Drosophila melanogaster: one gene and its partners. The protein of the gene in region 1 interacts with the protein of each later gene in a pairwise test. Each region holds a gene or a part of one and is shown in the gene's direction. Other genes may lie near its edges. The genes, in order: CG8301, CG7824 and rau.

Region 1 (13,468 bases):
CCTGTCAGATCTGAGTTCAGAAGAGGAGTCCGATGTGGACAAGAATGGTAATGCGAAGGTCTTCCATCATCCCTTTCAGCTGAAGGAGCGCGAGCCAATTGTGATGCATATACGAAACTCAACGGCGCTGGTTCCAGCACCACCTCGACTGGACGAGCAAACAAAGGCCATAACCATGCAGTTCCCGGTGTCGTCGGGTCAGACCCATCGCAACAATGAGGTGTGGGTGCCGGTGGATCCTAAGGACTCGCTAGTGCCGTTGCCCTCCCTACCGCCAGCAAAACAGGCCACCAATATGTTTAAGGAAACGCCGAAGAACGTGTTCGCGAAGTCGATACCCTTGCAGGAGCAGCAGGAACCCGCCTTTAAGCCACTGGGAGGAGCAGTCGTAGTCCCGCCCTTAGCCGCCACTCAATTACCCACTGTTCCTCAATCCGTCCCGCCAACCGTTCCCAAAGAGTTTGCCCCTCCGGCTGTTCCCTTCGTTCCCGAGGTGCCCATCCCGTCAACGTCACCCGTAACACCGATGCAAAGTGCTTCCATTTTTCCCGATGTTACGCCGCCTTCCATGGACGTGTCCAGCATAATCACCCAGCGTCTTAGTGCCATTCGACGCCTGCAGGTGAGCTCTAGAACCATTTGTCATTTTAACGGTTGGCTTCATAATTTTGTTTATCTTAGGAGAATCCGGCCGACTCTGAGGCCCTAAAAATGATGTACACTGCGCAACGCAACATGTCATCGTGGGCCAACTCAAAGCATCTGCCCGGTCAGTTCACGGGAAGCACGGGTGCCCAAGTGATGAAGGCACATGAGCTGAACAGCGGTCCGCAGCTGTGGGTGCGCAAAGACCAAATGACCTCCACCAAACCGGTGACTGGGGGCATGGGCATGGCGCTCCTGCAAAAGATGGGCTGGAAACCGGGCGAGGGACTGGGCAGATGTAAAACTGGATCATTGCAACCACTTTTGCTGGACGTCAAATTGGACAAGCGTGGCCTGGTGTCGCGCGATGACTTAAGGCCACCGCAAATGCGTGCGCCGGCTGCCCAGCGAAGAAATAAAAACATGGCGGGACCAATTGGAGCTGGCCCCTGTCCAGCAGTTCAGGGTGCGGGACCTGGACCGTTGGCGTCCACGCCGCTGGTCACCCAGGATAAGCATCCCGTGTGTGTGCTCAACGAACTGACCTCGAAGAACAAGTGGATGCCGCCGCAGTATAAGCTACGTCAGGATATCGGGCCCGCTCACAACCGTTCCTTTCTCTTTTCGGTCGAGATTAACGGACAGACCTTTACGCCGGATCGAGGAAGCAACAACAAGAAGGAGGCGAAACTCAATGCGGCCGCCTTATGTCTGCGATCTTTAGGCATTCTTCCGCCCAGCTAGTGATCGAACGTTGAATAGGCTAATTTCTAGATAGTGAATATAATAGAATCCCCACACTGTACATAAAATTAGCCCTATATTTAAGTTGTAAAATCTTGTTCGTCTCCTTTGGAGCGATGACAAATATAGTGCTAACATCAAAAATGATTGTTAGTTTGACTAAAATTACTGATATTTGATGTACCCCTAACGTTATCATTTCTATTATTTATACACTACTTACTTTAATGCTGTCCTTAATATCAGTTATAAATTACCTGTTTACTTCTAGTTCCTTTTAGAAATGCAAGTTTCGTATTTGAAGTGTATTTCCTTCCCTTATTAAATTGAATATTTTAATTTAATTTTTGACACACACATTTTTCCAAGTGTAATGCCCGTTATTTGGGAGAGGAGCTTTAACGCGCGAGCTTTGCTCACTCGCCAAACGGGGCTTTTGCGCAAGTACACAAACAAAGTCAGCTGTTCCATCCGAGTGGGTTAAACAAGAGTGGGCCGTGTGGACAGAGACTGGCAGTGGTTGTGGTGGTGGGAGTGGAAGTGGAAGTGGGAGCATCGGCGCTGCAAGTTCCAAAAGATTGCTCCTCGACGAAGGTCAGTTCACGCGGAAGCTCGAACTTCGTCGGATGGCGAGCACGGACCATTGGATTGGCTAGCAGGCGCAGCAGAAGGGGCAACAAGGAGCGGAGCAGAGGTCGTCACCCGGATACAGACAAAACTTTTCCGAGTGCCCCAGTCCTCGTCGCCCAATTCCCCAACAGCAGCAGCTGCAGCATCATCATCACTCAGCATCCAAAAATGCCTCAAAAACGTGCACAATAATATTTGTTGTGAAAATATCCAATGCTAGCGTGTAAATGCTTTTGAGCCACTGCGTCTTGGCATTCGGTGGATGTGGCTGCGGATTTGGATGTGGTTATCGTATCGACGCACGCAATCACAGCCCGCGTAGCTCGTAAAGTTGCATAATTACCGCACATGAATGGCTGGCGAGTCGAATTTGGGCGTTGCAGTTGCAGTTGCATTGGCCACATATCGCCATCGTTGTCATCGCCATTGATGCACTGCCGCATTTTCGCTGGCCACTTTGTTTGCGGCCAACGTCATGGAAACGTGCCGCACCTGTGCGATTTCCATGTTCGTGTGCGATTTCGAAAATGGCAGCAATAACAGCCACTTCCTGGACCTCCATCATCCCAACTGCTGGCCCAGCGAAATGGCCCAGATTCGCCTCCAGTTCGCCAACTGGAATCTAAAGGTGAGTGAAGTGATTCGGGCTTAATGGGATGATTTCAGTTCGGAAAAACTACATATCCTAGTATTTATTGTCTCAAAAGATTCCCAATCTTTAAATTAATGTAACTTACCTTCCCAATTTCTATCTCTTTGCCCAGCTAGTTGCTTGGTATTTCTCTCACTGTAACAATTGCATCTTTTCGCAAGTGAAAGTTGTGTGTTAGCCATGTTTTCACAATCGAGCCACTTGGGGCTTAATTATGCATAGTATGGTTATTTTCCTGCCAACCACAAAGCTTTGGGGAAATTGTCAATCTAAAGTTTTCCGGAATCATCAATTTTTTAAAAACACTGTTCCTAGTACATGAATAACTTTCAATATTTATTTTCCATATTGACATTCAAAGACACATGCCTAGGATATAGTATAATATATCTTGACCATCGCTCGATCGATTTCATAGGCAATCCAATGAGTTTCCAGTAGATAATCACCTTCAGGAAAGGGTAGAATATTCGTAACTCTGTGGTTAACAAAGTCTATTGGAATCTTATCCACAATAAGATCGTGCTATAGTATAAAATACTATAAAATTAATTTTAATAATACACAAGAATATACTCACATTAAAGGGGCAGGAATGGTTAAGATTTGAGTAGGAATTAAAGAATTCGTAAAAGTATTTTGCTATTGGTTTCGAATCAGTGTTTTTTAAAAATCTACACGCATCCAATGTTATGTTGAACATGAAGGGTCTGTAGCCGTTAAATCGCTTGTATAGTATACCAGTGAACTAGAAATAATTATAGATAATTGTAAATGTGTGTAATTTGTTTAATTTGCACATACCTTGACCTTTGTAACTGGCGTTTTGAATAGGTTCACTTTTAGCGTTAAGTACTTATAGCTCCGATTTGCAGACCTTATGTAACAATATTCAAAATCATCGAAACTTTTGTCGAACGATGTGCACTGGAGGTTGGTGAACTCAAATTTCGAGGAGGCCTGTACGAAAAATCGATTAGTTTAATACAGTTGATGCAAATTCGAAGTAGCAACCCATTTAGCCATGAGAAGAATTACTAAAATGACTACTATGTGGCAGCGCGTATTCTTCAACATCGTGCAATAAATGTCACAGCATAAACTAAACTGTATTCGTTTAAAAAAATATATCGCTAAATAAGCATGCCCAAGAATTAAATCAAATTGTTTCATAATAATACTGCAATTATACTAGGTAGTTTGGCAACGCATAGCGATTCGATTAATGGGTTGGTTTCTATAATAAGACAGTCAATTTGTTCCATGATTTAAATATGCAGCTGACTAAAACCAGGGAATTCATTTCAGATATCTCCCAACGATGGACTGCCCCAGAAGATCTGCAGCGACTGCTTCACCAAGTTCTGCTCGATCAACGCATTCCGCTTGGCCTGCCAGGAGGCACAGCTGAAGCTGTCCCACATCTACGACAAGATCGATGCCAGCAGCCTGGAAGATGATGAGATTGGACAGGAGGACTTGGAGCCAGCGGAAGAGCATCAGGAAACGGAAACTACCAAACCAACAACGACGGTTTCAGCCGAAACACAACCAAACAACACTGCCAGTGATCCCATAGAGATTTTCGTGGATGCCGTAGACATCGACGAGGCGGAGGAGGAGGAGGAGGAGGAGGAGCAGCAGCAGCAGTATGATGAGGAGGTGGAGGAACCAATCACGGATGAGTCTGCTCCCCCACAACTGACCATTAGCTATGCCTGCAAGTTCTGTCTGCGCCCGCAGGAGAACTACCAGCTGCAGCAACTCTTGTTGGAGCACATCAACGCTAGCCACGATCCGGAGCAACCGTACAATTGTCCGGAGTGCGAGGCACGCTTTCAGGACGCCGCATCGCGCACAGTTCACCTGAAAAGCAGCCACGTGGAGAAGCAACATGCCTGCGGCGTGTGCGGCAAGAAGTACGGCGACAGGCACAATCTGCGCCACCACGTTGAGAAGTACCATTCGGAGACGGACTTTGAGTGCGCGCTATGCGAGAAGCGCTTCTACACCCGCAAGAGCCTCAACTATCACATGAAGTGGCACAATCCGGATCGCCAGTTCAAGTGTCGCCACAGCGGATGCGAGCGACTCTTCATCAGCCAGCGGCATCTCATGTGCCACGAGGCCACCCACTCGGGCACCAGTTCCAGGAAGAGCGAACACTGCGGCTTCTGCGGCAAGAGTAAGAATCACCAATTCAGCAAAAACTTGCGCTCTAAACTCAATGAGATTAATATTGCGCATACGCCATGTTGATCACTGTTAATTATACTATCCCTCCTATACAATCTATTAGTAAACATTATTAAGTTTAGATACACTTTTATCTACGCAGCATTCATCCATCTGAAGACCCTTCGCTGGCACATTTACCGGCAGCATGGCGGGGAGAAGCCCTACAAGTGTGCCAATTGCACGGAGGGTAAGTCAAGTTGGATCCTCTAATCCGGGGACACCTACATAGGATCTTCGGTACTTGGTATTGGAAGATTCGTCGATTTGAACAACTCACAAACATATGAGCATTAACCATCATATATCAATCTGTTGCATCATATATCAACATTCTCACATCCAACGAGCGCTTTAAGAACATAGAAACTGGGCCAAGATCGGCTGCTTCTGCCGCCTTATATAGTGTGTTAGTCAAGCCAAAAGCAACGGTAAAGATAATGGCTAACCCAGCTCTATTTTGTACACCTTTTTAGCCATCGCATGCGATTAACGAACGGCAAACGTTTTGTACTTTGATATCCACTTAGCCACCTAGCTAGCGTTTTAACCAATTAAACCAATCGAACCCAATCAACCAAATGCATAACCAACTCCATACACAGTAAGAATCCCTGGAGAGCAGCATGCCAGCAATCACATAGTTAATCGTCCTGAATCTAAGGAATTTCATCCATTACGTTACCACAGTTTTATTTTTCTTCACCAACTTTACTTCCTACCTTCAGGACGATACATTTTTCCGAGTTTTCTACTTCATGACACCCTCTACGACTAGCCATCCGTTATCTATGTGCCAATGGATGCTAAACCCATTTTTGTCCAATCCCAACAGTCTTTGCATCCTATGCGGAGAAAAGGATTCACATGCTGGAGCGGCACAGGGAGAACCTGACTGCCATCGAGCGGAGTGAGTGCATGCTGTGCCGCCAGCCCTTCTCCAGCGAACCGGATTTGATCCACCACATGTCCGCGGAGCACTTGCAGCGTCCTGGCGCTCCCATCATAGCGAACAACAAACGGGTGCTGCAACAGAAGCGGGAACGCCAGTACTCCGGACTCTTTCAGTGCGGCAGCTGCAGCCAGAGGTTCAACATGAAGTCCGCTCTGGAGCGGCACGCTGCCGTGCATTCCGAGAAGGATCGACCGCACGCCTGCCCGCACTGTTCCAAGCGGTTCAAGCGCGCCCAGGACATGAAGTGGCACATCAAGACCCACGAGAAGGAGAAGCCCAATGTGTGCGATGTTTGCGGCAAGGCATTCGCCCTCAAGTATGTGCTCACCCAGCATCGCTTGAGTCACGAGGGTAAGGATGTCCACATGTACATATGTATTATTAGAAACATGTAATACATCAATCTTTTACAGTCTTGGAGAAGAACTTCAAGTGCAACGTTTGCGGTCGAGCCTATCTGTTTGAGAAGTCATTGCGGCTGCATCAGCGAACTCACACGGGCAAAACCTACTACAAATGCGATCTCTGTCAGGAAAGATTTGTCACGCACATTAAGCTCAAGAGTATGTATGCGAAATCACTCAATGATGCCCTTCCATATAGATGAACATCACTTCCAGCTCACATGCAAAAGGCACACGCCGCCTCTCAGCCGCACTCGGCGGACCAGCCTCTGGACGATCTGATCAACATTGTGATTTCCTAACCAAGTGGAACAGCAAACAGCATAGATTTCTGTTGTAGCCAAGCACAGTGCAGAAACTGCAATGCATTGGAGCGTAGCTCCCGAAACTCAAGCTTACATAGACCATATACATACATGTACCCTCCATCCAATTACACTTACTAGACCATATGCACACACGCAGCGATCTCTGGAACGTGAAAGTGCTTAGAGCTTTATTTAGTGGATATTCCGTAGGGCATAAACCATATAGCTATATCTCTGTCCATTTCTTCGATCGGTCCCTAAGGCACTCCAGCCGCATATCTCTTTCTAACTCTGAGCCATATTAATCTCACAGAACGCCTTTAAACACTACCAGCACATACATACATATATCCATTTGACCACTTAGCGATAAGAAATAAGCAATGAGAACATACAAGATGTTATACGAGCAATCTAAGCTTCGCGGCGAACTTTTAATGCTCAAGAAATGCATTTATTTCCAGATGAAACCGATAAGTATTTACAATAATTACCGAAAATGTATAAGAATATTTAAAATATCAATATACTATGGATTTTATTATGTGTAGTTGCAGATATATTTACCAAATTCATGTTCCGAATAAACATTCATGTGACCAAAGTTTGAATTGCCGTTACTTTTTTAGTTGGGCGGCAGAAATCGATTGGTTTAGACAGCTTTTTGCAATGATTGCAGAACTAGCTTTAAAATAGCGTCAAAAAGCTAGTTCTACTTTAATGACTTGTGTAGTGCGATCTAAATAATTTACTTCATTTATTATGAAATTTCTTTTGATCAGTTGTAGCTAGACAACAGCCAAAAGCTGCCAGCACTGCCGTCGCCCACATCCGATAGTTGCGACTCGTGACTGCGTGAAGAACCAGTGACTTGTATCACCTGCGGCCAAAATTCGCCCATCCCTAGAGAACGTGAACACGTCAGTTTTTAGTTTATAATATTTATAAGCGAAAAGTTCAGTGCACAGCGGTCGCGATTCCGAACTAGAAGTGGCTGCAATGCCCATGGGGAGTACCATCTAAACTCCATAACACACAGACAGTCAAAACAATCAGCTGACCAAGTCAGAAATTACCGAATAATCATCGCAGACGGCGCCGCAAGTTTACCAAAAACGGACGCAAAATCCATAACAGCGAGCTGAAAATAAAGCCGCCAGTGAAAGTTGATGTGCAGGAGGGGAAGCGGTGCGACCGTAGAGATTAGAAGCTGCCACGCCAAGCAGATTCGACGTGCGTGTCGATTGGGAATCAACTCCAAATCACGCCCACACTGGTTTTTTGCGGGGGCATCTAAGTACACGTAGCCATCGTCATGGCCTTGCCATTGAGTGACCTGCTCATGATCGGCGGCGGCGAGAAGAAATTGGCTGCCTGCCTGGTGCTGCTCCTGCTGGAGCTCTTCCTGGAAGGTACGTACTTCAAATCCTTATCTTCGAAGGCATCTGAAATACACGTCATTGTTTCTCGCTCAGGCGCCGAGTCGACGGCCAGTCCAGCGGATATTGAGAACCATCTGGAGCTGGGCAAGGAGTTCCTCGCCCGCGGACAGCTGTCGGATGCACTGACGCACTACCATGCAGCTGTTGGTAAATATAACTGGCTTGTACACACGAAAGAATCGGAATATCTATGACAATACATTTATATTCTTTAATTCACGTGAATTTACATAACATCGCGTTCAAAAGTGTCCATTGGCAACGAATCTAAATATTTTATAAAGATTTTAATTATTTTTGATTAACAAATCATAGAATCGTATGGTTTAAAACATAACCATGTTTTGCAAATGCCAAGGTCAATAAACAAACTTGTATCTTTTGTCTTGAATTTGATGATAACATTAATTTGGTAAACTTTTGTTTAGGACTACATTCATTTGTGCTAGGATATTTTTTAGCCTTTCTATGCCCTCGTCATTGATTTAACCATTATCATTTTCACAGAGGGCGATGCCAACAACTATCTGACGCTTTTCAAGCGCGGCACCGTCTATTTGGCGCTGGGCAAGACGCGCTTTGCCGTCCAGGATTTCAGCAGGGTGCTGGAACTGAAGCCAGACTTTATGGCCGCCCGAATCCAGCGGGGTGTTGTGCACATGAAGAGCGGAGAGTACGAGCAAGCGATCCAGGACTTTGATCAAGTCCTTCAAGAGGAACCCAACAACGGCTTGGTGCTGGAGCACTATTCCCGCTTGGCACCCGCCCAGGAGCAGTGGGTCCTTGTACAGCAGCTGATCCAATACAGTGATCACCAAAACGCCATCCCCATGATCACACAGTTGCTAGAGATCTCGCCGTGGGCTGTGCCCTTCCGGCAGGCTCGCTCTGATGCCTACATTGCAATCAATGATCCACTGTTAGCCATTGCTGACTTGCGACAGGTGAACCGACTCACCCAGGACAGCACTGAGGGTCACTACAAGATTGCACAGCTGCTGTACACAATTGGCCACGCCACAAATGCCTTAAAAGAGATCCGCGAGTGCCTGAAGTTCGACCCGGAACACAAGCTCTGCTTCCCCTTCTACAAGAAACTACGAAAGGTGGAAAAGCAGCTGGTTAACGCAGAGCAAGCGCGTGAGGAGAAGCATTTTGCCGAGTGCATAGCCGCCGGAGAGGCAGTCCTGCGTAACGAGCCGGAGGAGACGATGATCCGGTATGAGGGACACAAGGTGCTCTGCACTTGCTACACGGGCGACGAGCAGTTTGGCAAGGCTTTGCAACAGTGCAAGGAGGCACTGGATATTATGAAGGATGCTCAGGTCTACTGTGATCGTGCTGACGCATTGCTGGGCACCGAAATGTACGACGATGCCATACACTCCTTCCAAGCAGCTCTCGACCTGGAAGAGAGCAACACCCGCGCTAAAGAAGGCATCCAGAGGGCAAAGAAGCTGCAGAAGCAGTCAGAGCGCAGGGATTACTATAAGATATTAGGCGTTAAGCGTAGCGCCAGCAAACAGGAGATTGTGAAGGCCTACAGGAAGGCGGCGCAAAAGTGGCATCCGGACAACTTCCGCGACGAGGAAAAGAAGGTGGCCGAGAAAAAGTTTATTGACATTGCCGCAGCCAAGGAGGTTCTCACGGATCCCGAGAAGCGTCGTCAATTCGACAACGGCGAGGATCCATTAGATCCTGAGAGCAATCAGCGTGGCGGCTTCCATGGCGAACATCCGTTTGGACACTTCCAACACGGGTCGCCGTTCCAGTTCAAGTTCCACTTCAATTAGTCAGCCAGCAGCCATTTGCTTTGTGATGTCCTAGCCGCGATCCCCGATATCCTTTAACGATTTTACACTGTTTTGTTCATTTAAATGGCGTGTAAATAGTAGCATAAAGCATAAATAAACCCATGGTCCGTTGTCAGAGAGTACCACAAACAAACACAAATCGCAACAAAACACACTGAGCACTTACATTTAATTAGTTTATTTAATACAATACAATAATTATAATGTAGTACATTTTTCTAATTATGTATAAAAAGAAACAATATGCGAGAACAAGCAATTAAAGACTTGGCAAATTGAGTTGAATATTTGTTAGTTTTGAACATGTTTGGAATTGAAGTAGTAGTCTTAAGGTGCAAAGTCGTCATAAATATTCCTTCGCTGTAGTCTGTGGTTGAAATGCGTGGAGTAACCAAAACCAAATGTATTCCGCGATATGAACGCTTCTCAGGCGTTGGGTGTCAATACCACGTACACCATGGTGGCCAGCATCACTGACACTACCAATATTAAGTAGAATTTGAGATTATATTTTTGATCCAATGACACCGCCAGTGCACGGAACTGCGCCATAGGCGAAACCTGATCGTGGTGTCTTACCAGAGGTTTTCTAGCCAGCGGCGAGAAGCGATTCTTTTGGAAATGGCTATTGATGGGTACTTCCTCGACTTCGGACTCGCTCTCCGTCTCCATGGGTTCGCCTGCGTCATTCGGCTGATCGTAGAATTCATTTAGTTGTGGATATAGAGTGTTTACTGCGGTGGTCGGCTGGAGCAGGCGACCACGGGCCAGATTGGATCCACTAACTGGAACACTCTGTCGCTGGCGAATGGGTGCTGGAGCTGGTGCTGGGCCACCAAAAGGCCTAGCGGATCCGCTGAAAGTGTTTCTTGGCGAAATGGGTGAAAGTTTTGGATTGTACGTAGATGACTCCTCGTAGCTGGTTGAGTTTAAGTTGGTTTGAGTCAGCAGGGGACGCGAAAAACCCAAATCTGTGGGTCTGTATGTCGAAGGTTCGATGCGTGGCTCGTATGTGGGAAGTGCGTGAAGAGTGGCGGCTGGCACATGGGGTCTTTCGTAGGTGTAGCTGCGTGGTATATCCTCCTGTTCGTACAGCGGCTGGTCAACTTCGCGTGTGTAAGATGTGGTCAAAACTCCGGATTTGGCTAGAGAAACATAACGTCTAGGCTGCTGGTCCTTGGAGTAATTAGGCACCGGAGAGTCCACCATGTAGGAGTCGTCGTCCTCCGACTGGGAGCTCATATCCGACACCGTGGTAGTAGTCTGCACAGATCTTCCCGAGATCGAGGTGTTGTCTAGTCCATAGGCGATTGTGCGACGACTTTGTTCGCTGATCTTGTTGTTGTTGCTGCTAGTGCGTCCTGCACTCTTGCCGGGCGTACGACGCACTGGCTCCGATGTGGGCGTCGTTACCTGGCTGCCGTGTACGGTCTCACGCCTCGGAATCGCTTTCTTACTTGCAGATTTGCTTTTGTTCAGCGGAACCCCGGTGATTTTGGCCTTTAGTCGGCGAATTATGACGCTGCGGGTGCTGTCCGTCACGGGAACACCGGGCAGGCCGTGCTCCAGGCACTTGGCCAGCAGCTCCTTGTTGCCCAACGTGTCCAGGTAAGAAAGGTCCGACATTATTTTCCGCCGTGGTGAAACTCAAAACACACAAAAATAGCAATGTCGTCACAATGTTGTCTATTAGTGATGGAACGGCAGCGATAGAATGTTCAATCTAAGTGCACGCCTATCGATTGCTGCTAAAGTAATGTTGTTTGACAAACTATAGCTAGATTTCATATGCTGGATGAGCTGTGCACGAAAGTAAAAACAATTTTTTAACATCAGACAGAAGAACAAACTACTTGAAGAAAAACTTAACTCGATATTTTATGTGCAATCGCCTCATGTGCAGTGTTATAAAATGCCTACAACTAAACATTTACAGCAGTGCTGCCAGACCTGGTTGGATACGCTTGCTATGGTTTATTTCAACTAACGCCCGACGGTCACACAGTTAGTTTTATGAAAATCGAACGCGCAACAGGTGTTCAATCGCAAACAAGACGCTCGAATTAAACGAATCGCCGCGCGGAAAGCGCTCGCCAAGCCAAAGAAAATCCCCAAGTCGCAGTGCGGAAAACTGAGGAGATATAGCATCGTAACATAAACAGTGGATTGTGGAAAAACAATCGTGAATCATTTGCACCTGTTTGGCGGCCAATATTTCTTCACCTTTTTGCTTTTCTGCGCCTGCGTGTGTGCCTCACTTCGCTTATTACACTTTTGTTTACCTCAATCGCGGGTGTTATTAAAGTTTTTGGCATCGATTTCGAGTAGCAAAGCAAGTGGCTGGAAACATTCGACAATTTGCTGGCTGCAATTGCAGCATATTTTCCATTTAGCCAAGCAAGAGCAAGGGAAACAAAAACAGCAACAACAGCAGCAGTAGAAGCAGCAGCATAAACATAAACCAAAAAACCGGTTAAAGCGGACAAGAGCGAGAAAGGCGCCCCAAAAAAGAGCAAGCGGGACAAAAACAAACACATAAAACGTGAAAAACAACAACGAATCAAAGTAGATATAAATACTAAACGAAAAAAAAAATATCCTCGTATTTGGGTTTTTGTTTTTTTGTTAAGCGCAAACAGAAAATAAGTGCGTTTGTTCTTTGTTTAAACGTGTTGACATCGTGTTTTCCCTGTAAAATTCCTTATCGGCCGATCGAATCGAAAGTGAACGAGTAATTGCCTTTCTGGTATTTGGTTTATTACATTTCGATATTGCTATTGCCCAAACTCAAACTCTGCGCGTGGCCTCCTTCTTATCGGCAGTCCAGTTCACCAGTCTACTCCACCAGAAGAACTACCTGTTGCCGCAACAATTAACACCAGGTGAGCAATAAAACCAACCCTTTTTACACTTCTGCAGCTTAGAATGCCCAATAGGACCGACCACCGGGTATTCTTTAAATATTGTTTACGTTGCACTTATAACGAATTCCAAGGAATGTACTCACAAAGAGCATTTGAACAATTGTATTCATGAAGATATATTTACTCATAATTAAGAATTCATCTAAAAAGAAGCATCGGGGGTTGCAAGGAAGAAATGGGGTTTCAAACTAAATGTTAATATCAGTGATTTAGGCACATACATATTTGGTGCTATTTTTGGAGTGGCTTGTACATGTGAATTTGCTGATTTCAAGTAGCTCCAAATGTTATTTATTGTTACCAATATAATTTGTGTTGGGCATTTCATTCTATTCAGTCGGTCATTGCCTATATTTGGTATTGCTTGATAGCCAAGTCACGTGAGAGGCCTTCCATCGATAAACCAAATCACAATTGTTAACAAAAGATTAGCCCCATGCCCATGACATTAGGCAACCCAAATTGGGGGAATTGGGGAATTCGCCACCGCAGTTCATTGACACAACCTTTGGCTGCTGTTTTCAGCTGTTTTTGCTGTTGAACCCGCTTAACTTTCACTGCAAACGCGGCTGGCCCAAAAGCGGCATAAATCAGCACGAAAACAACACACGCGACAAGAAAATGTTGTAAATGCCAAAATTGAAATGCAGTCGCAGGTTAATAAAATCAAATTTGTTGCCCGCTTTTGTTTTCTCGTTTTCATCGCTCGTTTTCC
Region 2 (9,196 bases), about 20 Mb from region 1:
GAAAACAATCGCAATCGTACGACATAAAAACCATGTGTATACTATCCAAGTCACGATGGTAAGATAAAAACAATGAAAATGTGCTTGGTTTTCAAGCACACATTTCGGCACCGACCAATAAAACTTAATGGGAGTATGAGAAACTGGACCCTGGCATTCGAATACACGCCATTGCGATTATCCGGAGATTATCCTTACCTTGGTGTTGGCGGCGGGGCGTCCCAACTCGAACTTGCGCTTCTTGCGGAGCGACTTGCGCTTGCCTCCGGTGGCCCGGCGTTTGTGTGCACTATCGCGGCTAATACCTGGTGATTGAGAAATAGGTCCATGTTAGTACAAGGCGCACGGAAAAGTCGAAAAAAAACCAAGAACATGGGCACGTTTGGGGGCGCACTAAAAAGAGCCGCACCAAGTTAAATTCACGGATATTTATTTAAATTCACACATTCCCCGTTGCTTTTTTCTCGATGCTGTTGTAAACGTACTTTGTGCGCACTTTCATGGTGTTTGCAGGCCGTATTGAGCCCATTTTCTTGATATTTCGACGCAATTTGCGAGAGTCGACTTACCCATGTTCGAGTAAAAAGCGAGAAAGAAAGGAAAAGACACGCACAGCACCTCGTGTCAAAAAAGTAGGGTTATCTTTTTGACAGTTGCCGCGGTTGGGCAACTCTGCGCTGTTAGCGCGCGCTCTACAGTACACTCGGTGCTGTTACATTAATTCAAATATTAATTTTTAGCACCTGGAATCAGTGAAATTTAGTTAAAAATGTATGAAGCAATGTGAAACCAATTATTTTTATGAGCCATAGTGGTAGATTGTATTTACTAATATCTAATTATATTGCTTTACAATTAAGATATATATCAGGACATGTATTTTGGAATACAACAGGAGCACTTATTTAATTATAAACTTAACATTTGAGAATACCACTACTGCTGTCGAAATATATTACCCGTTGAATAAGGTGTGGCCAGCTTGCGTTCGTAACAGCTCGGTAAAATGTTAGCTTGTGGCTTCGCGCACACGGTCACACCCTCATTTTGCACCGAAAATAAAAGCAATTTGATAAATAAACGCGACAATTGCCACCAAATTGGCCAGGAGCAGGCGAAACTGCAACTCCCGGATTTGCGGAAGCAGCTATGGTTGGGAAAAACTTCAAGGCTCTAGCGCACTTCCACCGACTGACCGAGTACATAGTTCAGTGCAAACACTGCGAGAAGACATTGTCCTCCAAACACACATCCTCCAACTTGACGCGCCACTTAATCCGGAACCACAAGCTCTTGGCCCGATCAATTTTTGCCGGCGAGGAGGGTAAGATGCTGGCGGAGCTGAAGGACGAGCTGGAAGCCTCCGCCTCCGAGGACCTGAGCATGGAGCTCGGAGAGGGCGAGACCAAGTCGGCGGTGCGCGGCATCATGAACGCGAAGCTCGAACAAGAGCAGATGGAGCGGCACAGCCAGGAGGAGATGCGCAACAAGGTCATTGGGAAGAACAATAAACTGTGGGCGCACTTTATCCGCATCTCCGAATTCATGGCCAAATGTATGCACTGCGGCAAGACGCTCTCCTCGAAGCACTCGTCCTCCAATCTGATGCGACACATTGTGCGTCGTCACACCAGCCTGGCCAAGACGCTGAATCACTCGCACCAGCACCTCATGACACCCAAGAAGGACTCCTACGCCAGCCTGGAGCGTAGGCAGGCGGCTGATCCCCTGGAGAAAGTCAACTTTGACGATGTGGACAGCATCATCGAAAAGGTGGCCGATCACCTTGAAGAAGAGGTTTGTCCACGGACCACTTCCGCTCCCCTACCCACATTTAGCCTCTACATGCTTTCGATCTTTGATTTAAGGTCACTTCGATTTCGCTGCAGGAACCCTTCTACGAGTACGTTGTGGACAACTCGGACTCCGTGGTGGTGGACAGGTGCGATGAGCCGGAGCCGGCGGAGATGCAGAACATGATTCCGCAGGACAGCGCCTCGCTGGCGGAGTCCACCACACAGCTGGACGAGAAGCTCAAGGCGGAAACGATATACTACAACGAGATGGCCGAGTTGGCCAGGGCCAAGCGGCGGCTCATTGATCTGCAGACCAAAAAGCTTCTCCTGGACATGAACGTAGTGGACAACTAGCCCATCGACGATTGGAACGGCTTGTGTTTGTAGGTGGATAAGGCGGGCAATATGATTATTTACACTTAGGTATGATTATACTTTAAACGATTTTATGATCTGAGCATTTATTGTGCGGGGGATTAATTTCCACGAGGGAAGGGCATAGAAATTGAAAGAGAAGTAATTTGGCCATTGCATGTTATTCTTATGTCCTTTTATTAATTTATATATTATTTGTAAAAAGTGCCGGCTTAAAAGCGATCATTTCAGCTCGTAAATAAACTTCACCGTTACGCTTAGAGTTAGTAACAAACTGTAGCTCAATTATGTGTTATTAATATGCTTAATCTAGGATTCTACTCATTGTAACTAAACGCACATTCAATAGTGAGCACTGTACTTAAACGGTGGGAAATACCGGATATTTGCACTACAAGATTAATAATTATGTTGCGGTCACACTCCTCGATAACTTCCAATATCGAAGTAGGTTGTGTCAGTTATCGCTAGAAAGCAGGCAGAGATTTGTTTACTTCTGCGAAGATTAATTCAGCAGAAGCACGGAAATACGGATCCTTAATCATGACTAGATATTCACGTAAAAACCAGGCCTTGCTTCAACTCCCCGTTCCTTGGAGAACAGGAACGTAAAACCGGCCTATAAGGGTATGTTAGCCGGGTATCTGGTGCACCCACATTATTAAGTTGAGACCCCTCTTAGTTTCCTAGGGCTTGGAACGGAGGGGGAAAGTGATACTTCAAACGTGTCAAGGAGTAGGGTAGAACGCTCTTGATGTGTTCAGCGCAGAGCACCAATCAGTAGCGATCAGCAGCAACGTAAGCGAAACGGACCATCGGACTCAAATGGGAAGAATCACAAACGGAGATGCAGATGCATCTGTCTATTTAGGCCTGGAAGTACAAGGAGTTGATCCAGGACAACCCGACAATGGCCCTGGTAGACGAGCGCCACGCAGACGGCTGCTTGCTCTTCGAAAAGTGGTGTCAGATCGAGGCGAGGCTGGCTCGCATTGTGGCGGATAGACGGGCGGCGGTGCCTCAAGGACCTCACCCGTTGCTTGACTCCTCATTTGTTATTCGAGGACACCGGATGATCAGGTGCTAGGACGGCTTCTCTAAGATCTTCCTAGAGGATTGCATTGAGCAATTAGCCGACGCATGGGATGGACTATGCATTAAGCTTGTTCACGCCAGCGAAATACCCAGTTCAAGTCAAGCGGCCCGTTTTGTTCATCAAGTAAGTAAGAGCTTTTCCTGTTTGTACAAAGACAATACAGTTTATGAAATAAATAAACGATTGAAGGAACGAATTTGGATTGTTTTTAAATTCCGCCCTGGTTTGCGCCACCGCTGATTGTCTATCATGGGTTGCAACCACGTGGAACTACAGTTATTTTTAGGCCTTTTTTCGCGCTTCGATGGTAAACACATTTTGTTTATTGCTTAGCTCTGAGAAACCAAGACGCAATAATTGACAAAATGTCCAGTATTTGGACAAAAAGGAAGGACTCTTTCTGCAATAACGAAAATATAAGGGCTCAGAAGTTCGAGGATGTGATTGTAATCGATGACAATGGTAAGTCGTGTGTTGTCAGCCTTCTCGATGCTAACTGCTACACTTGGTCCTTCAAGATCGTGGCGACTCTCTCCGGAGTGTAAAATCCGAGCCCCCTGAAGAAAAGCCCCGCTTATCTCCACAGGACGCTAATCAAAAACGTGCAGTAAAGGAGGAGAAGGAAATGTCCAGGCGCGCACGCGCTCGAGCCAAGAAAATACGGAATACAGAGGCAAGAGCAGCGAAATCGGTGGTTACCAGGGGTGCGGGTAAAAAAGCAAGGAAGCGTAAGAAGCAAAATAAAGCGGCACTCAAGAAGGCTAGTGAACTTGAACCCAAAAAGGCAAAGGGCTCCAAGGAGGCTAGTGCCCACAAGAAGGCAAAGGGACCCAAGAATACAAGTCCTCCTATGGCTGCGAAGCCCAATTTGGCAAAGAGTGACAACCTGACGATGGCCCTGGTGGACGAGCTCCACGAAGACGGCCGTCTGCTTAACGAAAGGTGGCAGGAGGTCGAGGCCCAGCTGGCGTACATGGTGACTGACAGAGTCATGGCCATGCCGGGGGGTCCCGTCCCGTCCTTCGATAGCTCAGACGTAGTTCGTGGCCACCGAGTGATCCGGTGCGAAGACGGATTTTCAAAGGTATTCCTGTCGGACTGTGTTGCCGCGATTAGCAACTCGTGGCATGACATGCGCATCAAGCTCGTCCATGTCAGCGATGTACCATTTGCGCCTCAGGCGCGCATCTGGTTGCCCACGGGTCAAACGGACCACAACCGGATCATGATCTGCTTGAGAGCCCAGAACCTAAATGTGGACATGTCGGACTGGTCCATCCTCAGGGCGGAGGAAGTCATGGAGATCAGTCAGAGTTTCCTGCTCCTTATCAACCGGAGGTGCATCCCGCAACTGGATGCAGTGGACTACAAGTTGCGCTATGGCATACGAATGGCCCAGATCCAGCTCATTTTAAGCGAAGCAGACGATTTGCCATCGGAGTTCGACAACTACCACCCATTTTGCCATTTTCCCCATTAAACCATAAATCCTCAGGCTCTAAGCTATGTTTATTAGAGTAATAATATTGTTAGAGAAAGAAACGAATTTCATAACCTAATAAATCTCCAATTGGTTTTAGATGCCAACTTAGACAGCATTTTTATCAAATTTAACCTTAATCTTAAGATATTTTTAAATATAGAAACTCAACATGGGAGGTGGGATACCCTCTTTTGGTTCATGGCGATGCTGACTGGTTGGCAAGCGTGACAACGTGTGGGGTATTTATGCTCTACTTTGCTGTGGTCACACTGTTTCCACAGCATTTTATTTCATTTCGCTTCGTCTGAAAAATCAGAGAACAATTTCTAAAAAGCGGCAAAAATCTTGAAAGGACGATGTCCAGCTTTTCGCCAAACCAATTGCGGCAGTGCGCCCGCTTCACCGGCACGCCCTGCACTCCGGACAAGGAGCACCAGCTGCGGGAGCAGATCCACAGCGAGCTGGTCAAGATTAAGTACTGCGCCAATCCCACCTACGAGTGCAGCCTGATGCGGATCGAGGGCTACGAGTATTGCATCCGACACATCCTGCGCGACCCGCGCTCCAACTTCCGACAGTGCTCGCACGTCTACTCGAACGGCAGGAAGTGCATCAACGCGGTGGCCAAGTATGACAACAAGAAGGAGCTGATCCTGACGACCCTCTGCTTCGAGCACAACCGGCAGACGCAGCTGCAGAAGACGCACATGAATGTGGGCCGCATTCGCAGCCGGGTGGAGACCAACGAGACCCTGCTGCACAGCCTCTCATCGCACATTAATGTGGAGGACATAAAGCCAGAGGTGAAAAAGATCGAACGCGATGATGATGAAATCGATGTGGTCTCACCCCACGTGACGCCATTTGGTATGTCTTGCTGACTATAAACCGAGCTGAAATCTAATTTTCCTCACTTCTAGTCACTCAGGATCACCGCAATTCCATAGGACATGTTGTGGAGAGCTCTCGCAAGCGACGTCGCATTTTGGATTATGCTTCCGATAGTTCCAGCAACGATGCAGATCCGCCCTGTCTCAGGAACACCGCCCAGGACATTGAGTTTTACGAATCTGACCATGAGAGTATCGATTCGGAGGATGATGATCCTTTGAAGTAAGATTTGATTTATTCGTAGCACTATTTTTTAAGGAAATTTTAATTTTTTCTTCTCCCTTGTAGACACGCTGGCGTCTTTACACGCGCAGAGGCAGTAAAGATTGCCGAAACGAAGCTGATCAAGCTTCAGGGTCTTTACCGCGAGCAGATTTCATATCTGCAGAACGTGCTGAGGCAGCGACGTCGCAAGTATTTGCACGATATACGACGCGAGCGAGAGCTATATTGTAAGTTTCACTTGCCTTTAGGTATGCAGGATAATGTGTCTTATGCCACACTTTCAGGCAGCATTCACGATCAGCTAAAGGACACGCCACACGAGCGAAAGCTGTACGAGCAGCTAAAGGCGCTGAATAGCTATCATCGACGCCAGGGCGTCGAGGCGGTGCTCTACAAGAAACTGAAGGAGAAGCGAGCTCGCGACGCCTTGTACGCAGCCAAGTCGTCGAGCAACCCGAAGTGCGTCTTCACCGAAGGCGGTGTCAAGTGTGGTGAGCGAACGCTGCCCTGCTGCAAGCACTGCCGCAAGCACATTCTGGAGGATAAGCGCCAGGTGCTGTTCCGAGCCTGCGGCGTGGAGCGGAGTGGGGTGGTCTGCCAGGAGCCAGTGGCTAGCATTCTCGAAGACTCCAGTTGCGTACTGCACCTGACCGTGGCGCCGGCTAAGCGCCAGTATATACAAAAGGTGCGTTGATCAAACACTAACCCAACCCACGCCATAACCACCACAAGTAACTGCTTATATATTCCAACTGTCCACTCACCCATTGCCATAAGTTGTGTTGCACATGACTGCTGAAACTATAGTAAGCCAACTGTAAGACAGTTCGAACAAACAATACTGCGTAACTAGTATTTAGGCTTGATTTGTAGTAAAGCTAAGTATATCTAGAGAAACAACACGAAACACATGTATATAAGTGCTAGTACTGTCTAAGCAAGCCCTTTGTGATCGACCCTGAATAAATTGCCGACCTCTCATCCCCCAGTTTTATGAAGTTCCCAGCACTCCGCCGGTAGAAAGTATTTTCGCAGCAGGCCGTGGTCTCGATAACTTTGTCGGAGAAGACCCACGGAATGAGCCGCAGCCGGAGGGGGATGACCTCTTGGATTTTGCCAATGGTATATTCGATTTTGACCTTGACGGAGTTGACGATCTGGCAAACTCCCTCGACGATGATTACTCCATGTTCCTGGACATGGACAGTGACCTGGGCTTAGCCATTGAAGATGACGGTGTGGAGAGCGATCCTGTAGACTTAGGCCTCGAGGAGGAGGGCGATGGCGGGTCCAACGACTCAGTTGGTCCAGCTGAAAGTCAGGCTCAAGATAACCTCATCGCAGACAACTTTGAGTTAGAAGAACCATCCGTGCAAGACAATAACGAACTTAACTTTGATATCGACGAGTCGGAGAGCAATGTGAACGAAGTGTTGCGCTTGCTCGAGGGCATAGAACACATGCCCTGGTTCGATGCCCTCATGAACTAGTCTAATAGCGTAGTAAACGTAATAACCCACCATACTAACCCAAATCCAGAAAAAAGCCCAAAGTATCTCTTCTTCTCATGCTTGCAATTCCCTTTACTTCACAGAAATGCGAATCGGAGACCGAGGAGGAGGAGACCCAGTCCACCAGCTTGATTAGCACCATAAAAAAGGAGGAGGAGGACCCCTCGGATAAGCTGTATACGAGTCAAGCCCTCAACGTGACCACCGCACATGGCGAAGACAACAAGGGCGACGTGAAGCCCAGGGAGTACGCCCCAAACAGATCTTAAACTAATTTTTAAGCCCTCGTAGATTAAATGTTTACTGTTGCAATCATAGAAACCTAGATATAAATCTCCGACACGAAAATGTCAGTTGGTTTTGTACTCAGCCATTGTAGTTTTTGGTGCATTCGGGTGTAAGGAACCCCTAATAAATAGGCACTCTTAAGTTAAAAATCTATTTATTTACATTTATTGGCTTTCCATAGTTTATACAACTTAAACAGTTTATATTAATGCATGTACATGTTTTCAACAATTCCTAAAGAAAACGACTGCGTCTGGCAGTTTCGTAAGTGTGTGGGAAGTATGCACTCTGCGTTCGCTTAAATATAATGACTGTAATTATTTGATCTTAAGCACGGTTAAATATATTAGTTATCAGTTCCTCCATTCTGCATCTCCGCTCAGGTATTTACAGATTGCTCGTGCTATGATCATAAATTGATGGCAACCGCTCTCGTTGTTAAAATGCACTATTAAAATTACAAATTGGCAGCTAAGTATATTAACAAGTCTGTAAAATGTATCGAAACCAGAATATTCCTAGTGTATTCCCTACAGTTCCGTAGTTGTTTCCACCTCCGACCTATCCAGATCGTTTAGATATGAGAACCCTATTTGGCCATAGTCCCTCTTCCCGAAGGACACGTTCTCATTGGTGCTGCTCAGGTGGTTGTGATCGGAATTGGATCTGCAGGATAGAGGGTGTTACCAATTATAGTTATAGTTATAAACTAGGAAGTAAGCTATGCATACCTTTGAAACAGCGGGTTGGTGATGGGCACCTCTCCGCCGTACAGGCGATTGTTGAGCTGGCCATTCCGACCCAGCGTGGCGTTCATCAGCTCCCCGTTGCCATTGAGCAATCCCACGTCGCCGAAGGTGTTTCCCCGCCTGCCCATGGTGCTGTAGGCATTGTTCTTGGCATGGGCCATGTTGTTGGGCCCAGTTGGGTCTATGTTGTAGGCGCCGTTCTGGTAGTGGTTGCTGTTCTGGTGCTTGATGCGGCCCAAAGTCAGGGTGCCCGAGAGGGCTCCGTTCGGCGGAGATGCCAGCGGATTGGCGTTGTTGCGGGTGTTCATCTCCAGGGTTCTATTGAAGGTGTTCTGCCTGTTGTTGATGGCCAGATTGTTGTTCATGCTGGCGTTATTGAGATTCTTATGGCGGCGCAGAGTGGCAATCGTGGCCGTGGTGGCATCCGAGTGGGAGGGACTGGACTGGCCACCGCCGTTGGTGTTCTCCTTGTGCGTTATGTAGCTAACATTGTCCAGCGAGAAGGCATGGTTCTTGGCACTAAAGTCCAGCTGCAGATCATCGTCCACATCCGGTGGCACTGCCATGGCCAGCATCTGGGTCTCGTACTCCTTCATGTTGGCTATGGTTTCGCTGGCACTCGAGGCCTGCTGGTTAACGATCACGGGATCGTAGCGGGGAGGATTCGTGGAGGAGTACTGGCGCATCCGCTGCTTGAAGTTCTTGTACCTATAAAGAGCAAGTGTGTATGCAAAGATTTAAGTAAAAGTAAATAGAGGTTACATGTTATCCACTCACTTTGA
Region 3 (10,695 bases), on another chromosome or scaffold:
TTCAGAGTTTGTTCCAACAATTGGGATTGCAATTTTAGGATAACCTCTTTCTGCAGAAAAATAATCCTTTTGAAGCGGTTCGTCCTTTCGTCATTTTTCATACAAAATTCTTTGGAGGTGATGTTTATATCCGATTTGCTATCCTGCAAGTGCATGCTTGCGGATTTTACTTCAACAGACAGATCGTTTAGTAATTTTATAACTTTTAAAATATAAATAGTTACCAGCGAGATTTTTAAACTTCGTTAAAATTGCATTGATGTCGTGCTTGTCTAAGCTGTTAACTAAATGGACATAAAACGTTGCTAAAGGAATGGTTAAATAGTGATTATTAATTTTTAGTTAAATATGTCTTATTTTACCACAAAGAATAAGTAAAATACATTTATAGTATGCATTCATTTCGATGTACTAGATCAAAATGCGACTAGTCGCTTTGGTTTGCTATTTGCAATGAATATTATTTCTAAATCTATTTCTTTACAGTAGTTAACTACTACACAGAAACAAGCAACTTAAATGTACTTTCATTTAAATTAGACAAGCCCTTGTAAGAGTAACGTTTTCCATCTTAGATTCACTCAATTGTGGAACCATAAAAACCTCGAAGAACAAGTCACTTAACAACGCGACCTATCGTTTTATGAGTAATAATTTGATTTGAAAAGTTATAGTTTTTCCCTTCACCTAAGCTTTCTACAACCTGATGCATTTACATATGAATGTGGCAAGGGATCTCGCCATATTGCCCACGCTCCTACTCTCCGTCAAAACAAATAACTTTTCCAATGATTGTATGGCTTTTACTGCTTTCCATATTCCGTGTGGAGTTGCGGAGTTTACTGAGCGCTGTGCGTTGCATTTCCAAGTTTATTAAAGAAACCTATACCCATAAGTTCTGGGCTCCAACGAAATATTTTCTTAGTAGAATTCATGGGCACTGACTTTCCCATGTAGTATAGACGGTTTTATGCCTCGATTGATTTGTAAATATTATGCGTTTCGAATGGAAATGTTTTTTTTGTGTAAATGAATCTTTCGATGGGCAAGGGGAATTCAGCAGTTTTTTTTAAATATATCTGCACATTAGTTGTAATCATATATAAGTTAAGTCTACTTTTCAAGTTTGAAATAGAATAAAAACTAGATTAATTGACAATTAATTAGGTATTATTTATATTTCACTCGGATTTTCAACTCCCTGCTTGTGTAAGCGACTCGAATGCGATAGAAATCGAAAGCTAATGTGCTATTTAAGGTGATTGTTAAAACCACATTAGTTAAACGTGAAAATACACCGCTGAATATTCGTTGCCTTTGGATGTTTGAAGCGCATTATTAAAAGCGTTCTTGGCCCACACCGAAAATTTCTGACTAAAAATACAAATATTTTATGTCCATAAACAGAAAATGTTTCGCATAATAAATCATCCAGCAATAATATATCATTTAAAATGTGAATCTGAATGCACAAAGCAAGCAACTAAAATGAAAATAAACAAGTCCACTTAAAGCGCGTTTGAACTAAAAGGTGTATGCAATATTTTACCTATAATATATATATAAAATTTAACGTTGGTAAAATAAACTTCTGTAACTTAATTATTATCATTATGAATTCAAGCCACTGCAAGTAATTCTCCGTTTAGCTGCTTCGCCCAGCAGAACTTGATATCGAAGTGGTTTCATCAAGAGGTCGGTAAATGAGTTATGAATCCTTGATATCCTTGACGCCTTTTCGCTTGACCTGGCGAAGGCGAGGCCACCTGGCTACGAAATGGCCAGGACATCGGCGGAAGTCCTCCCGCCCTTCCGTCCCTCGACCCGCACTCCAGGACTTGTCTCTGACCCAACTGCCGATGCCACCTGTTTGGGTCTGCAAGCTGTCGCCCCTCAGCTGCTGAAAGTTTGGTGTTTTATTCGGTTTCGGCTTTAATGAGGACCTCCGCTAAGCCGCTCGTGGCACTTGCCACTTGAGCAGACGCCGCAATCGGAAGTCCTTGTTTATGACATGGATACTGAAGCCAACGGCCAGCCAATATCAGCTGCTTTGCTAACCGAACTTGATTTATATCCACCAATTGAGACGATCTCGTTTGGGGTAAGTGATGTTTAGGCCTTAAACGGATAGCTCTTTACTCCGATGCCAACTAATTCGCTGTGCAATCATTTCGGTACAACCAAAGCGGCCTTAACAGGCTACCACCACTTAGTGGCAGGCCGTCTAAACAAATCATTTGAGCGCAAACTTCATCTCGGGTGCCTGCAACTTGATAGATGGCATGAATAGAGTAGCCCTCGCCTTGCGCTTCTCTGCCTCTTTTCGTTTTTTATTTATGGTTTACAGCTACTATTTATAGGAAATGTGCTCAGCACGCAAAAAGTCAGTCGGTGCTTTTTGCACCGAGGGGGAAGTCGGAATCGCAACCCACTTGACAGACTTCGCTGCCATCCGGAGCAGATGCTGATGCAGATGCAGATACAGTTGCAGATGCAGATACAGATACGGATACAAACCAACACAAGTGCAGCTCGAGGCGAGTGTGTTTGGGCGATCCGAGCTCCAACATTTTTGTTTACAATTGGAGCACGTCTGTTTTGGCTGCGGCAGCTGCTGACCATTAGCCATTAACTTGCAGCCGGCCGCGCTGAGTCCGCAATTGCAACTCCATGCGCGTACAGGCCGAATTACCAGGGCAGAACTCGAAAGATTTCTGTTTGTGTTTGGAAGATTGTTGCAAAACATTGTTTCATATTAAATATGATATGCTTTTGTTTTCAATTCCGTGGCATATAATTACAAGTTCGACGGCAAGGGCATCAAATATTTTACTTTAAGCTTTTTCGATGGGCCGTCATGAACAGTTTCGTAGGCTCTACTGTATTTGAGCTGAACAAACACTGTTACTTCTGTAACTGGAGCATACCTTCGCTGCGACTTCATCTTCATCTGGAGTCTGGTGGACTGGAGGAGAGCAGGGGACCTGCATCCGAGTCTGAGCTGCCCTCCCTCAAACTGGGCTGGTGTGTACTTTTCACACGGCTGTGTGAAAAGCGTGCTATGATACCATTTTCATGTCCGCACAGTGCTGCACAAATATTTAACCGTTGGTCAGAGGAATGCCACTTAGCTACAAGATGTAACTTTTTGTGCCCCGAGGACAAACTTTGATACCCTTCAGTCAGAACGGAGAATGTTCTAAGGAGCCAAGCAATTTGACTGGGCTTTATTAACACCTTCGAACAGATCTTTCGGCTTCAATGTGAATACAAAACCAGTATCAATTTGTTAAACGGCGACCTCTAATTAGGGCCTGATTCATGAATTCTTAATTGACCGCCCCGGGTCACATGCAAACATAACTTGCCGTGCTCCAACTAATTAAATTACTCTCAAAAAGCAAACAAATAAAATTGGTTCCGCATTTTTCGCTCAGATTTTCACAACTCTGCGAGTCCGTCGTCCATCAGCGACATCGACTCATCAAGTTCATCTATCAAAGTCTAATGAATTTTACTGGCGCATCAGTTGGTTGGTTTTTTCCTTCCTTTTCATTCGCAAATTATCGAGCAACAAAAAATCTGTTATTTATTTTTGTTTTTCGCTTCGCTGATGATAATTTCACTTTCATTAATAATTTTTGGACTTTTTGACTTTGTCATAATTAATTTTTAAACTTTTGCTTTTCTTTGTTGTTTCTGTGGGGTCTAAAAAACATCAAACCGAAGCAATCTACGACTTGCCGGAATGGAATATCTCGCCTGAATGTTGAACTTTCTTTCACCTTTTCAGTTTACATACTGCCAAAGTTCAGGGCTTATTTCCTGGATTTAGTTTCGCCAGACTTAAAGTTACAAAATCGATCCTGTTAATCGAATACTATAGAAGGAGTCTTAAGGTCTACCTATTAAAAATGCATCAGCTTCATATTGATTGTTGTGGAAACTGTTAAGGTAGTACAGTTTTTGAATTTTCTTGTTGTTTAGTAACTAAATAAACTACTAATGCCGTTCTAGCGTGAACACATATATACATACGATTACTAGCTAAAGTCTTCTGCTTTGAAAACTCCCTGATTTATTACAAGTCCGTAAACTCTAGCCGTGCCTCGCCCTTCAACTTTGGTCATTTATGTAGCTCTGCCCAAGCCCATCCGGCGTCGCTCGACCGCGAATCCCCATCCCCAGATTTCCATGAGGAAACCCACATGCCGGCAAAGTCTAAGTCTGATTGGAAACCAGTTTTCCTCTCTCCGAAAAGAGCGAGCCGCAGACAGAACTAGTTCGCCCGCTCACTCGCCCACGAAGCGCCAACCCACACCCCCAGTGGCTCCATTATGAACGATTTGCGTTTTCCCAAAATCCATTCACCTAACATTCATACTATTCACATGGTATCAGATCAGCTTGGCTCATTTCAAGTTGAATTAAAGTCCCCTGTAGAAGATAAGAAGAGAGAGAATTTTATAGTCAGCTTAAAAAAATTAAATATTAGTTATCAAATTATTAAATAACTTGCTAACTGCAAGTATCTGCGTTGCTTTCCGCTGATCAAGCTAGCTATAGTTTTTTTCTGAGTGCAGAGAGGCGAGAGCGCGAGAGCCAGCTCACACACACATACAAAACAGGTATCTGAATGCGACTCCTCTCAGCGGGTTAGACCTCGCAGACGCTAGCCGTGCGGCTTCAGTGCGTCTGTAAACACTGCCGAGTGCGGTACTCAATCTACATTAGCTCCGCTCGAAAATTTCCAATTCTTAGTGAACTGGCTAACGGTAGCGAGCCTATTCGAACGAAAGTGAATGTGCGTCCAGATCTAAAATAAAATTGGTACGAAAGCCAAAGGAATATACATATGTACAAAAAGTGAACAAATTCGGATAGAAACTCAAAGTGCAACGCTAAAATAAAAATCAGTGCAGCTGCTTCCTGAGTGCACCTGTTTCCCCAGCAGGGAGCACGTACGCATACGCACCTTTGGATACGCGAAGAAATGCGAAGTGGCGTAGAGTGCTTGATAACTTAATGCCAAGCAGCCAAAGGGCCCTAAAAGCGGCAGCCGAAGAAAAACGACGCGACCTTGTCTTGTCTTCGCACTCCGGACTTCTTATACCGCCATCCATCAAAGTCTCGGGCCTTAAGGTCTTGGGATTACACACAAATCACATTTGGATACTACAAATCATACGCTAGAAGGTAAGCGCCCGATCGCTGGTCCAGTTTTCGCTCTTCATCTAGAAAGTTTGATTGCTAGACGAGATCTAGTTCGGTCGATTGGGTTTCTTCTCGCCTTGGCGAAAGTCCAGAATTTTCACAGCCCACTCTCCTGCACTCAATTATCGAATTGCGCGATTAGATCCAGACAGTTTCGCTGGCCAGAGGAGTTGATTGAACCCGCAACGGTAACCAAGCTGTTGGCCAGTCACTTCCTCCATTCCCGAGGTCATCTAGGGGGATTACAATGCAAATACGGAATTGCTGAGCATCATTGTCCGGTTCTTGGCCTCCGACAAGTGTACATCCGTGGATCTGCAACTCGACAATTTGCTCAGCATTTTTTTGAATTTTTATGCAAATATTTCAAACTTCCATTAGAGGGCCACACAGGCGGACATAAGACCTTCCCAGCTATTTTGGAAATGCATAAACATTTCATGTAAATTTCTTGGTCGAGTGACTCTCTTAATTAGTCGAGTTGCTTTGTTGGCCGATTATGAATGACACAAACTTTGGGTCTCGACCAAACATTTGATTTGATGCATATCTTGTAGATTTCTGTGAGAAAATCCGTCTCTGTTGTTTCAAGCTCAGATGAATGATATCACTCAGTTCGGTAACAATGCTCATTGGGGATTTTCGATTAACAATGCCCCCCAATCGGATACACATGTGTATCATTTCATTTGTCTTTGCTGTGCTTATTGTCAAACTCCTTAATGTCAATTCCACATAATATCATCTAATGAGGAGTTGCAATAATAAGTTAGCATTGTCCACCAGACGGCGGTGTAACCATGATTACGAGTGGGGAAAATCCCGATGTCCAAAAGCGGTTGGTTTTGATTATAAAATTGCTAGCCTGAGGTGGTGGTTACCATCACTTTCTCGCAATTTTCAACGCAACCGCAGAAAAGTATTGATATCGAATTAATTTCCTGTCCTCTCGCACACAGGAGTATTCGGTCTGGAGCATTGTTTTCCTGTGGACACTGAGGGGCTAAAGATTTCACATACCAAGCACGTAGCCTCAGACCGTTTGGCCCAACTTGTTGTCTTTGTTAGGTTCTATTTGGCTAATTAAAAATCAGGAAATGCACGAGTACAATACGCCCCAGAGGGCTCAACGTGCTGCGATCCCATCCTGAATTTCAGAAGACTACGTGAGAGAGGGATTACCTTTTTGGGCCTACCTGCTCGTGTGCTACTGTCAAGTGCGGTTTCCTTCAGTTTAGCGCCTTCTGCTTCGATTTCGGAACAGGTAGTACCACCAAATCTGTGCTTAACAGAAGTATCTTGTATTGGGCTGGATACGTGAGCCATGAAAGGATATTCGCCTCATTTAGTCTTCACATTGCACACACGTAGTACTTGCGAGGGGCGTTTTAAAAGGAAGTAGTTCTATTGATTAATCGATGGCAGGAAGTCGAGGGTGGTCTGCATCAGGGATCGTTTATCTTTCGCTGGAGATCTTGGCACTAACATCTCAATTCGCTTTTATAGTTTTTAGCCATTTTCTATCATATTTGTATTTAAGAGCTCCATTCCAGTGAATGGTTGAACAAACCATTTTGTATAATTTCCTCGGTAATTTATGCGTGGCTTTATAGCTTGAGGAAGTTGCTTGACTTCCATATACAGTTATGTACATTCAAGTCTATTGTTTCTTCATCTAACCAAAGACACACCCGCACTGGCAATAAAAAGACAATAGCATTTGTCAATCGACATAAATGTGCGCTAACCGGATTTTTGCGTACATATATGTAAAAGTTCTACTCTAAATTATTCCGGCTATAAAATAAAACAATTTATTTTACTGCAATTTTCCTAAGCTATTTTATTTTATTTCACACCCGAAGTCGTACATTCTCTTGTTGATTCTTAAATTGATTTACAATTTATTCGAGCGTTGGCAACACAATTTGATGTTGGAGCTTAGCATTCCGAAATATTCAAAATTCAATTGAAATGAATGCTGGCCCGAATCGGGGGTTTTTTTCGGTTATATATTATGCACTGCAGCCTCGTTTAACGTTTCTCGCTAACTCGGCTAAATTACAGCGAAAATCGTACTGAGTCAGCGGCTTCAAAATGGTAAATTCAATAAACAAGTTCAGCAGCGAAATGAAAAAATAATATACGACTTCTTTAATATAAATGATGGCACAAAGTCAGCAAAAAACTGGAAGTTGGCGCTTTTACTCGTGGTTTTTCTCTCAGCCGCTCTCGGTTGATATTTTTTTTTGTTGACACTTCGTTTTGTTAACAATTAATTAACAAAAAACCAAGGTACACAAAGCCTGTTAACTGTTTGTTTGCGCACGGCAACCTGTGAGATATGGTGGCGTAAAACAATTATAACGCCTTATGGCATCTGGTTTTCTCTAGCACTACAATGTATAATTCGAAACGATTAGGCATTGGGGAATTTGTGTGTTAAGTGATTCCGTATTGATTTGGCTTTCAGCGAAACTATGTAGTATTAGTCATAAGAAGCAAATTTGCATTGTAAATGGGTTACTGCGAAAAGAGCTTAGAGATTAAGTTGTACTGATGATCAGTCTTCTTATGATAGGAACATCTTGTCTTGGGAAATACCTTTCACATTTTAGTAGATTGTCCTAGATTAATATCCCTTTATTACATTATATAAGCGCAGGTGTCTTCGCTGATCCCCATACTTTGCTTTACGAGCAGAAAAAGTTCATCTGGAACTTTCTTCTGTCCAATTGAGTTTCTTCACCTCGCTTTTATCACTTTTTCCAGCAGTTCAGATGATCCATTAGGGTCAAAAGCTGGGTAACCTTTCGCTATGAACCGAGCAAAACCTCGTAAAACTTTCATTAGGCCGTAAATCTAGCTGCGAAATGTATCTCACAGTGGCCATCTTATCGGCTGGGAAATCGTTCTCGCCACTGACTTTCCACCAACACGTGCCTCTGTAATCCGCCCACCTGAATTGGCGACCGATTCTCACGCCTAAAAAGAAAAGCAAACTTACCACTTCAGTTCGCATTTGTGGCTGTGGATGTTGGCCCAAACCGCAAGTGATTTTGTTGCTGTTGACTTTGCAGTGGCCGGATGGTTCTGCGCCTCCGATTCCCAGCAGCTATCCTGGGACAGGAATTTGCTGGCTCGGACTCGGGCTTAATGCACTGTGGGAATGCGGAATGTTGGGAGTCCCAACAGTTGATTGACTCACCACTGCTGTGGGGATTCATTAACTGACCCTGCAAATGCAGCTTTTACTCGCCTTTAAAACGCTCGTAACCCCTCGATTCCCAGCTGGTTTTGACTACCTGGTAATCAATATGCGTGTAGCACCCATTCGACGGGGGCAAAAAGAGCTAAAGGCCGGAAACTCGCTGGATTAAAGCAAGTGAGGATTATACAAAAAAACAAAAAAAAACTCTGTGCTGAGCCACTGCAAAAAAAGACCAAAAAGCTTGCCCACTTTGGAGCTCTATTTGAGCGTTATTAATATCCGCACATCAGTCAGCGGCACAGCGGCTAAATACAAACACTTGGCCCAAAAGAAATCCAGGGCCCAAAAACCAGAGCGCTCGTATATAAAAAAAAAAACAACTACATTCTTCACACAATTGCACTCTTTGCACATCTCCTTTATTCCCTTCCGCTGGCCATGATAAATTAACCAAGCTAAAGGCCGTTGTGCCGCTCCAGCTGGACACTTGGCCACTTGGCCACTGGACGGGTGACAAGTTGACGTCTTTGTTGGCACATCATGCGCTCCGCAGGGTCTGCTGCAGGAAGCTCCATCGGATTCCCTCCCAGGCGACTTAATTGTGCGTTTGCAAATTTGTGTGAGAATCGGATTGGGTAACACCGCTGAACCTTTTGTTTTTGCCCGCTCTCTCTCCTTTCGGCCCGATTTTTTGGCAGCTCACAGTTTTCATTGATTGGCAGCAGCGCCGTTTTGATTTGTGCTTCACTTGCGCACTGGCACTTTTGAGATATTAACTTGCTGATACAAAACGAAACCGTTTGGTGCCTTGAACCTCAGCTACTGCTCCACAATTGCAAGTGAATCATATGAGTGTATATATACTCATTGCGCTTATCTTGCATCGTCTGAACTCTGAAATAGGAACAAGGCCTGCTGCATTCGCTTTCCCCGTAAGATAAACCATATATCTCGGAGGGTTCTTAATATAGAGGGCTGCTTAATATTAAAGCAACTTAATCGACACTCTAATAAACAAAACGAGGGGAGCGAAGCGCAGAAGAAATATGGAAAATATTAATTGTCGGCGCTTAAGTGGAAGCCTTCTCCTCCTCCATCTCCTCCAGCTTTCATCATATTTATGGAATATGCAAGAAAGAGTGGCATCAAAAATAAGTATTCCAGCCCCCGGTTGAGCGATATTCTGGTCTTCCAGCTCATAACTTCATTAGGGCGAGGCATGGTTCTTCACGGAATTTCGGTTTCTTTTGTATCTTTTAAAGTGGGCGAGCTGCAGATGCATCTGTGGTGGTTTTTTAAGGCCAGCCGCATTTATTTAATGATTAGTTTGGGCCTGTTGTGACTGGGGGAAGGCATTCAAGTGTGGGACAGTAATTTGTGTATTATTTTTAGCTGATTTATCCGAAACAAATGCGCAATTTGTGTGGGGTTGTGTTTGAAATCCCACCGAAGACAATGCAACGACCTTGCCTTGGATCACAAACAACGATTTCCACTGCGAAAAGCGCTTTTGTCTAGAATGGAAATTGGAATGCAATTTGGAAAAGCGCGCTTTTTATCTAAATAAGCGGCACGAAAACATTTTGTCGGTAGAAATCCATGTTGGAATTATTTATTGACAACCGCAAAAACTGGTGTACAATACCTGGCAGGCTTCCAGGAAAAATTCAAATAAAAAAAAAATACCTCTGGCTTTTTGTAATTGTGTAAAACAGCCAAGGCGGAATAAAAAAAGAACCACGCGCTTTTGCTCTGAATTTATAATTTCCGCAGAGAGCTGAAAGCTTTATGATATTTTTTAGAGTTTACCCACTCGATTTACTTTTTTTTTTGGTATATTTTAAATTTATGAGGCGGCAAGCGTTTTCAGTTTGCAGAGCGTTTGACGGGCGAGAAAGTCCATAAAATATGACAGGATTTTAACAGATTTATGAATCGCTATTTCTTTTCAATGAGCAAACGAAAAAATGCAGTGAATTATTTAAAACAGCATATGGGGTTAATTCAGTTGATCAGTAGGAGAATGCATAATTTCGAACATTTTAATTAAATTGAACAATATGCCCAACCGACTGCCACCGACTATCCGATGCTCTTTTTTTGCCGCTTTAATGGTAAATTCATCTAGGCCTTAAATAATCGATCCTTTTATTAAAACTCATTTTGCATCTGCAGCGAATCGTCCTCGAATTACCTCTCATTATCAAGAGAAAACCATTTATTTCCGTTTTTATTGCCTTGCAATATTCATTCAAGTGCCGAATAATTCT

Evidence for each region.
Region 2: the proteins of CG8301 (region 1) and CG7824 interact in a two-hybrid assay, tested with the Drosophila melanogaster proteins (2 studies listed by BioGRID).
Region 3: the proteins of CG8301 (region 1) and rau interact in a two-hybrid assay, tested with the Drosophila melanogaster proteins (2 studies listed by BioGRID).

Annotation. Positions count from the first base shown.
Region 1 is NT_033777.3:9,579,475-9,592,942, forward strand, and holds CG8301 (uncharacterized protein), read left to right. Parts: upstream 1-1,831; 5' UTR 1,832-2,494; coding exon 2,495-2,647; intron 2,648-3,040; coding exon of another isoform or gene 3,041-3,196; intron 3,197-3,251; coding exon of another isoform or gene 3,252-3,398; intron 3,399-3,490; coding exon of another isoform or gene 3,491-3,631; intron 3,632-3,685; coding exon of another isoform or gene 3,686-3,748; intron 3,749-3,979; coding exon 3,980-4,856; intron 4,857-5,009; coding exon 5,010-5,096; intron 5,097-5,741; coding exon 5,742-6,212; intron 6,213-6,274; coding exon 6,275-6,424; intron 6,425-6,481; coding exon 6,482-6,567; 3' UTR 6,568-7,174; downstream 7,175-13,468. Other genes in the region: Son RNA binding protein, read left to right, coding at 1-622, 682-1,389; CG33654 (uncharacterized protein), read right to left, coding at 3,041-3,196, 3,252-3,398, 3,491-3,631, 3,686-3,748; P58IPK, read left to right, coding at 7,889-7,985, 8,049-8,162, 8,523-9,808; bocks (bocksbeutel), read right to left, coding at 10,256-11,455.
Region 2 is NT_033777.3:29,853,308-29,862,503, reverse strand, and holds CG7824 (uncharacterized protein), read left to right. Parts: upstream 1-3,567; 5' UTR 3,568-3,632; coding exon 3,633-3,729; intron 3,730-3,785; coding exon 3,786-4,747; 3' UTR 4,748-4,852; downstream 4,853-9,196. Other genes in the region: RpS8 (ribosomal protein S8), read right to left, coding at 199-305, 570-573; CG15514 (uncharacterized protein), read left to right, coding at 1,150-1,797, 1,869-2,150; dgt1 (dim gamma-tubulin 1), read left to right, coding at 5,107-5,617, 5,671-5,863, 5,930-6,093, 6,151-6,551, 6,856-7,356; Cad99C (cadherin 99C), read right to left, coding at 8,196-8,331, 8,397-9,122, 9,192-9,196.
Region 3 is NT_033779.5:5,873,489-5,884,183, reverse strand, and holds the start of rau (rau), read left to right. Parts: upstream 1-4,685; 5' UTR 4,686-5,196; intron 5,197-10,695. Other genes in the region: CG44574 (uncharacterized protein), read right to left, coding at 1-169, 225-305, 363-402.